Linked DNA regions of Mus musculus. The protein of the gene in region 2 purifies or fractionates together with the protein of the main gene of each other region. This does not show direct contact. Links are inferred from orthologs where the notes say so. Each region holds a gene or a part of one and is shown on either strand. Other genes may lie near its edges.

Region 1 (4,194 bases), on a different chromosome or scaffold from region 2:
AGCAGTAGTGATCAAGATGGTCTGATTGAAGAAAATTACTATAGAGGAATTAATATGATGTGCAATGCAGCAAGCACTTCACAATAACACAGTACAAACACTGAAAACAAGTGGTAAGAAGTCACGTCGATCACATGTTCTGTTAAAGCAGAAGTTACAAGTAGTGGGGTGGGGGGTAGTTCGTCATAAAGTGGAAAGACAGGCATATTTATGCCACTATCAGTCTTTCCACAGTCTCAGAGCTGACCCACCTGTCTGGTTAACCTTTGAACCCCAATATTGCAATGAGTCTTCCCATCTAAAGAATTCATGCTCCTCAAAAATAGTGGAAGGCAAATTGCCAGTCACCCAAAATGCCTTCCTCAGATTCAATGCTCAGATACAAAAATGCAAGTCCAAATTCTAGTAGGTTTGGTCCTATAGGCTCCATTCTGGGCACAAAGGGACCACGCAAAATCCACAACCACAGGCCAGTGGATGAAGCTATGGGACTCTGGGCTAGTGATTCCCCAAGTGTGAGGTTAACACACAAATAATGCCATGCCTGCCACAGAGTACTGTGCCTCCACACCCACAGGGGCAGCCAAATGTCATTGCTACATCCTAGCATCTAGTGCAATGCCCAGGAAGTGCAGGCACTTCATATGTTTGCTGAGTGAGGCAGAAGATCAATTAAGGCTAGCCTGGGGTCAGCCATGCCCGGATGGTGCATGCCTTCAATCATAGCACTCTTAGGAGGCTGAGGCAGGAAGGGCACTGCTCCAGGCAAGCATAGGGAAACCCTGTTTCAATGAAGAGGAGGTGGAGAGAGGGGAAAGGGGTGGGAGAGGGAAAGGAGAGAGGAAGGGAGAGCAGAAGGAGAGGAAGAGAGAGAGAAGAAACCAATCAAGCAAGCATAAGGGTCAACCAAAATTTCCAGACCCAGCTTCTATGTGGGTTCCAAACTTTCCTCAAACTAGAGGTAACTTGTCCCCTGAAACAAGGCAGGCCCTGATCTTTGGCCCTGGAAAGCCTTCTGATAGCTGCCCTGAGCTTTTATTTCACCCAGGAAAGACTGGCACTTGCTGCCCTGACATTCCATCCCCTCACTCTTCAGTTTTAAAAGCAACAGGCTTACTAAGCGACATCTTGGCACTTAGGTCTTTCTCGAATGAAGCCTGGGGACCATTCAAACAGCTAGAATCCTACTCTGTTGAAGCAACCATTCTTAGCTGAATGATACCATCTATTAGGAAACCCATCACAGAGACAGGAAGAGTAAAGAGTCAAAGACAATTCCACTATCTGCCTTCCCTTCCTGAGTATCAAAATGGAAAAAAAAAATGGCTTGAACTATTTTTAAATGAACCCAATGAAAAAAGGTACCCTTCTTGCCCTGCAAGGTGCTCAATCTTAGAATGTTCTAATTTGGCCACAAGGGAAAACTCTGGGCTTCCTCTTCAAAAGTTAGGCGGCATGCACATTTTAACACACACATACACCTTGTACCGAGAAGGGGGCAGGGCAGCAAAAAATGGCTCCACAGCAGCTCAGGGAACCTTTTAAATGAGCTTAAAACTTCTCTTTTTCTGAGCAAGGGCTGAGGATTCCCTCTCAGCCTTTTGAATTTTAAAAGATGTGAGGGAGAGGACGGGTATGGAGCAAGGGAGCGGGAGACGGAGAAAGACGGATGTGTTCGGTCTATTTTTAAACCTTCGCCTACAGTTTAGAGTAAAGGAACACTCTGGTCCTATACTCCCACCCCTGTCACCTTCTGCTAAGCACAAGAATCAAAACCTGCACACGTACACCGCACTGATCTATGTCTAGGGATTAATGTCAGTGCTCCCAGGAATGCAGCTAACCAATCACCCCAACGCAGAGAACCCGGTAGTCAGGACTAGGCGAGAGCTGCGTGCAGGGCTCCTGCAGGGCTCGAAGCAGTCACCACCCTCCTCTTCCCAGGGATGGGCAGCGCCCCCTCCGCACGCTCCATTCCCAAGGCTGGGCACCGAGGTGAGCAACTCGCCCCCCTTAAGGATACCAAGCCATGGGAAGCGTGGAAGTGGTTTTCCCCAACAGGCTGCGGCAGGCTCACTCCAGAAACACCTGTGTCGCACACACCCACCCAATCCAGAGTACCACCCTGATGGCCACCTTCCGGCCGTCCCCGAATGCCGAGGGCTGAGCGACCAGATTCCTACGAGGCAACTGACTCGCTCTTTTTACATATCCTTCTTGCCTCGCAGGAGCATAGACACCGGTCACTCTGCGCCCGAGGAGGGATGAAAGCCGGTAGCGCGCGGGCGACCGGGAGCGGAGCGCCGCCGCCGGGTGCCCTCCTGCGCTGCTCCGGACACTCACTCTTGAGCGCGCTGATGAGCGACTTCCCGTCCTTGATGAGCTCCTTGATGAATTTGTTGGTCTTGTCCAGCTCCGCTTCGTGTGACTTGAGCGTCTCTCGGAAGTGAGGGCTGTCGAGGCAGCAGTCGCTGAACTCGAGCGCCGGGAGCCCCATTTCTGCCCGCGGAGCCAGCCGGGCTGAGGGGACGCGCCTCGCACGCTGGTCGGCGGACACCCGCGACGACGGCCGATCCACAGGTGTGGGTGGCGCCGGCTACCCCGCGCGCGGGGTCAGCGGGAGCAGGAGACTCAGGACCGCAGCGGGGACCCGGACGGACGGCGGCTGCTCCTGCGGAGAGCCACCGAACTGCACACCGGCAGAAAGCGCGGCGGCGGACCCTTGGCGGAGCCTGGAAGCGAACCAGCCGGGCCACCGCCTCCCCGCCTCCTCTGCGGGCTTGCTCCTCAGCAGCCTCAAGCAGCCTCGAGCGCCCTCTCACAGAAGCCTCAGCCGCCCCTCCGGCGTCCGGGCCGCCCGAACCTGCTAGCGATGACCTAATCCCCTGCAGGGCCAATCAATAAGCTTGCCTCGGCCCGACCCACGGGGCCGCCAGGGGACGCCCTGCCCTTCCGCGACTCTAACCCAATCAGATATTTCTGAAGGCGGAGCCTGGGGAGAGGGGCGGAGTCCGTGCCACCCCCTGGGTCCGCAGAGCAAGCCCCGCCCCCTCCTGCTCAGCGAAGGTTGCAGAGCTAGGAGAGAGAGCCTGGTGCTGCATTCTGTAGTGGGTGCGCCCCCCTGCCACCCTGAACCCGGCCCGCCTCGTGTGACTCTAATCCGAGCCTGAAATGAGACGTCTGCTGATCTAGGGAACCGAAGAGCCTAGGTGTGCGGAGCAGAAAAAATCCAGAATGAGAACTGCCTTTCGCCGCAGCCCACCGGACACCTCTGAGCCTTTGAGCTTGCACTCAAAATACAGCCCCTTGCCCAGAAGAACACTGAGCGCTCGGAGCTCGCAATCCCTTGCTTCCAGTCAAGCAGAACGTATTTGCTTCTTTGAAATCACTAACTCCCCTTCCCTGCAGTCCTCTCCCCCCCTACTGTCCGTCCCACTAGTGGCCACTCCTGCTCAAAACCCGCCCACGGCTGCAACCCACAGAAGGTTCTCACGTCCTTAGCAAGAATTCAGCCTTTCCTACTGGATTCTTAACACCGTTTTTACACAATTCTGTCCAATGTCTGCTACTCTTCGCTGCTGCCCAGCTCCACGAGGGCACGTGCCTCCGCAGTTCTCTGGTGGGGTGTTGCAATCCTATCCACTAGAACAGCGACTAGTGTTTAAGAACAGATAATATGCGCTGTCTAACATGTGTGTAGAAAACTATGCATCATTCTCCGACTTCCAGAGTGACCATCATCCCTCTGATCAATCACAGGAGTCAAGGTTAACCGCTCCCTCAGAGCATTTGGTAGGTTGGTTCCCAGTGTCTAGAACTGAATGATGAACTCCTAGAGAACAGAGACTGCCCTTGGCTAAATTATTTCTATACTAATTAACAACACACCTTTGGGGGTGGAGGACATGGGGAAGGTGCTTCTTTGTGTTTTCAATTGGTCTGCTATTATAAACACAGCACTAGACTCGGGATGGAACCACAAACCCAGAAAGACCTTGAAACTTGACTGCTTCTGTTCTGGAGAGGAGCATCAACCAAGGAATAGCTTTGCTGTCTGATGGAAGGATCCTTGGGAACAATGAAAACGAGTTTCAGACTCCAAAGTGTCAGAAAAAGGAGTCCTTGCATGGGAAATTAATTGATGTACTTATCGAATGAATGAATGTGGTCGATTTCTTAATTTGTATCTACAAA
Region 2 (3,550 bases):
GGAGGAGGCTTCGTGTCTTCTTTTGAGAGCGTCTTCATGGGCAGGAAGTTACTGTAAGAAGGAGATGTCTCAGCCCAGACACATTAGGGGGGGGGGGGGGTGAGGGGCGCGGCCATGTGAAAGGACAGAGGGCTCAGAGGTTGAGGAGGCAAAAGACAGCACTCAGAACCTGAAGAGACAGAGCCTGAAAAGTGTCTCAGAGTCTGCACCAGGCGGCTCACCTCGGGGAAGCAGCACTGGGGGTCCCACAGACCGCTGTTGAAGGGCGCCCTTTAGGGGGACTGGCTGTGTTTGGTGAGCTGCAGGGGGGCAGCAAGCTCATGACCAGACGCCCCCAGGCTGCCATGCTGAGGTTCATCTGGGAAGCTCTCATGAAATCCCGGCCTAGAGGAGGCAGGCGGGGCTCAGTCCCAGCATCCCCATTGGTCAGCCCAGCCCTCTCCTCACACAGTCCGTATGCTCCACACCTCTCCGCTTAGAGAAAATGCATCTCTGCCTCTGCAGCCGAGGCCTCCTTTCAATGACAGGCTCGCAGAAGGTGACCTAAAGGGACATGAAGAAAGCTGAAGACCTGGAGACTGGCCGCCTTTCACCCTGCTGGATCGTCCCCGTCCCCACCCCCATCCCCACTCCCCCACCCCCAGCGCCAGCTCCCAATCTCAGCCATGGGGGTATTCTAGTTAGTGCTAACTTTCCATATGACCCATCCGAGAGGGACTGCCTAGATTACATGGCTCGTGGGCATGTCTGGGGGGGGGTCTTGATTGTTAATTGATGTAGGAGGATCTAGCACACTGTTAGAGGCACCATTCCCTAGACAAGTGGTACTGGGCTATATAAGAAAGCTAGCCAAGCATGAGCTTGGGAGAGAGGCAGAGAGCAAGCCAGCAAACGGTTCCTCCCCAGTTTCTGCTTTCAGTTCCTGCTTATTAAGTTTCTGCCTTGGCTCCCGTAAAGATAGGCTGTAAACTGGGCGGTGGTGGAGCACACCATTAATCCCAGCTCTGAGGAGGCAGAAGCAGGTGGATCTCCGTGAATTGGAGGCCAGCCTGGTCTACAGAGTGAGTTCCAGGACAGCCAGGGCTGCAAGAGAAACCCTATCTCAGAAAAAATAAAGAAGGCGGTGGGGGGTGGGGGGGGGTGGGAGAAGAGTAGGGAGGGGGTTGGCTGTAAATCTGTAAATTGAAATCACCCCTTCCCTGCCTTCAGTTGCTTTGGCCGGTGTTTTATCGGAACAATGAGGCAAAGCTGATATGAAGCAAAACTCAGAGGACCTAGACACGATACCGTATCCTCACGGGGGCCAGGGGAGAAACTGAGGCCCAGAGGAGACACATTTACGTATTCAAGATGACATATGAGGCAGGACAAGCTCAGTGTAGAGATGTGAGCCTCCCTGTAGGCCTGTCTGTGAACCTGTCTCCATCTCTCAAGTCCCATAGTACATGGATTACCAGTTTTTATCACACAGATGCACACACACACACACACACACACACACACACACACACACACACACAGAGTTGTACTCACTGATGTAGGCAGAGGTTGACACCACACTGGGTATCTGCCCTTCCACCTTATTTTTGAGACAGGGTTTCTCACTGAACCTGGAATTCACTGTTTCAGCTAGACTTGGCTGGCCAGCGAGTCTGGAGAACCCATGTCTCTGTACGGCCAGCCATGAACTTAGAGACACACCAAGCCACACATGGTTTTTACACAGATCCTGGGGATTTGAACTCAGGTCCTCATGCTTCCACAGTAAACACTTTACCCACTGAGCCATCACCCCAACCCAAAATGTCAGTCCTAAAGATCCCCTGTTAGAGGTCAGGGGTCAGTAGGAACCTGGGCAAAGAGCCGCCCCTGAGGCACCAGACTGAGAGAAAGCTGGTGACAGGCATTGTCCAGGAAGTCCTCAAGCTTCAGAAACGCCACACCACACAACTGTCGCCAGTCCCGCCAGTGAACCCCAATCTCCAGCTCGCGAGCCTATGTGGAAAAGATCAGGCTCAGCCCTCACCTGAGTGCCCCCCCCCGTACCCCACAGCTAACCCTAACCACACAAAGGCCAGCCTACTCGGTCCAAGGAGATGATAAAACTCTGGTCCCAGGATTTCTCAGCCACCAGTCCCCATCCTGTCTGGCCCACAACACGATTGTCAACCTTCAACACAGCCAGTACCTCACCTGTAGTGCCAGGGCTTGGATTTAGGGCATGGCCAGAGCAGGGGGCCTCACCACCTCCCATGGTTTCTCCCTACTCACTGGCCAGTTCGCCTCCACCACGCTGCTGCCGGGACCTTGTTCGGAGCCAGCTTTCAGAAGGGCTACCTGCCAGGACAGCCATGGGAGACCGTCCAGGCACAGCTACCAGCAGATCTTTGCAGCCCAGGAGGCGAACCTGCAGTGTCCCTGGTTGGGAGTCAAGAGAGCCCTCTGTCAGCAGCCACCACCAATGGAACCCCAGAGGGACACCACCTGCTCTAGGAGGGTCAGAGCTAGGAGCAGCCGATCTAAACCCTACCTACCACACTTAGTTACCACCCAGCATCCTTAGCAGCCCGGCTAGCTCTCCTTCCTGAGTGCCTATGCAGTGGCAGAACACAGCAGGAATGTAAGAACAGGACTTCTCCCAAGCTTTGTAAAGCCACAGGATGAGGGAAACTGCTACCTTGAGCTCAGGGTCTGGTGGGCACCATGGTCTCAAGTGCACAGGGGCAGGCACCCGAGCATCACTCTAGCTGCCTGCCCTATTCCTTCCCACCTGATCAGCGAGGGAGAGCCCCCAATGGGGACAAAACATGTTTTGTCTAAGATCACTGAGAGTTTTGTCTCCAAGGGTAGAGGACAAGAGGAGGAAGCAGCAGATACCCAGGAGCTCCTGAGGGCATAAACCGGCTCTGAGGACACCATTTTACTAGGCTGGGTCTGGAGGTAATACTTGGAGACCTTACAGAAATACCAAGGGCGGCCCAGGCAATACACTTGTCTTAGGAAATGGAAGTTCGGCTACAAACTAGCAAATGTTTTTGTTTAAAAGCAGGATCTTGTTAGCCCAAGTTGGCCTCAAACTCACTATGTAGCTAAAGATGCCCTTGAACTCCTGATCCTCCTGCCTCACTTCCCAGGGGGTTGGGTTGTAGGTGTGTGCTACCATACCCAGTTAATTTGGTGCTGGGACTGAACCCAGGACCTCATACGCAGTAAGAAAGAACTTTATCAACGTGTCCCCAATTCTTTGCCTTTAAACAAGAGGCTCCTTTTGTCTTGCCGGACTTGCTGGCTTGGCCATCAGCACTCCCGAGAGCCCTCCAAGGCCAAGCTCAGACTCCCCCCTGTTCTAAGGAGCCCTCCTTGATTATCCAAGATAATAGTAACAGAGCTCTGTCTAGCCCTATCTATTGTGTTCTGAAGCAGGCACCAGCCGGGCTCTAGCTTGCAGCTCCCATGATCTGTTGACTGCCAGTCAGCTGCTGCTACAAGAACAGACCTCATGAAAGAACTTACAGGTAGTCCAAGCTGCCCAGGCCCCAAGGCTGCCAGG

The links.
Region 1: the proteins of Pkn3 (region 2) and Arhgap26 purify together in Homo sapiens (affinity purification with mass spectrometry; 3 studies listed by BioGRID and IntAct, with this or other methods). This does not show direct contact. The link is inferred for Mus musculus from reciprocal best matches to the Homo sapiens genes PKN3 and ARHGAP26.

What each region holds. Positions count from the first base shown.
Region 1 is NC_000084.6:38,991,779-38,995,972, reverse strand, and holds the start of Arhgap26 (rho GTPase-activating protein 26), read right to left. Parts: upstream 2,821-4,194; 5' UTR 2,498-2,820; coding exon 2,344-2,497; intron 1-2,343. UniProt on the Homo sapiens protein: GTPase-activating protein for RHOA and CDC42. Facilitates mitochondrial quality control by promoting Parkin-mediated recruitment of autophagosomes to damaged mitochondria.
Region 2 is NC_000068.7:30,081,684-30,085,233, reverse strand, and holds part of Pkn3 (serine/threonine-protein kinase N3), read right to left. Parts: intron 2,419-3,550; coding exon 2,272-2,418; intron 2,194-2,271; coding exon 2,084-2,193; intron 1,996-2,083; coding exon 1,852-1,995; intron 544-1,851; coding exon 468-543; intron 385-467; coding exon 222-384; intron 52-221; coding exon 1-51.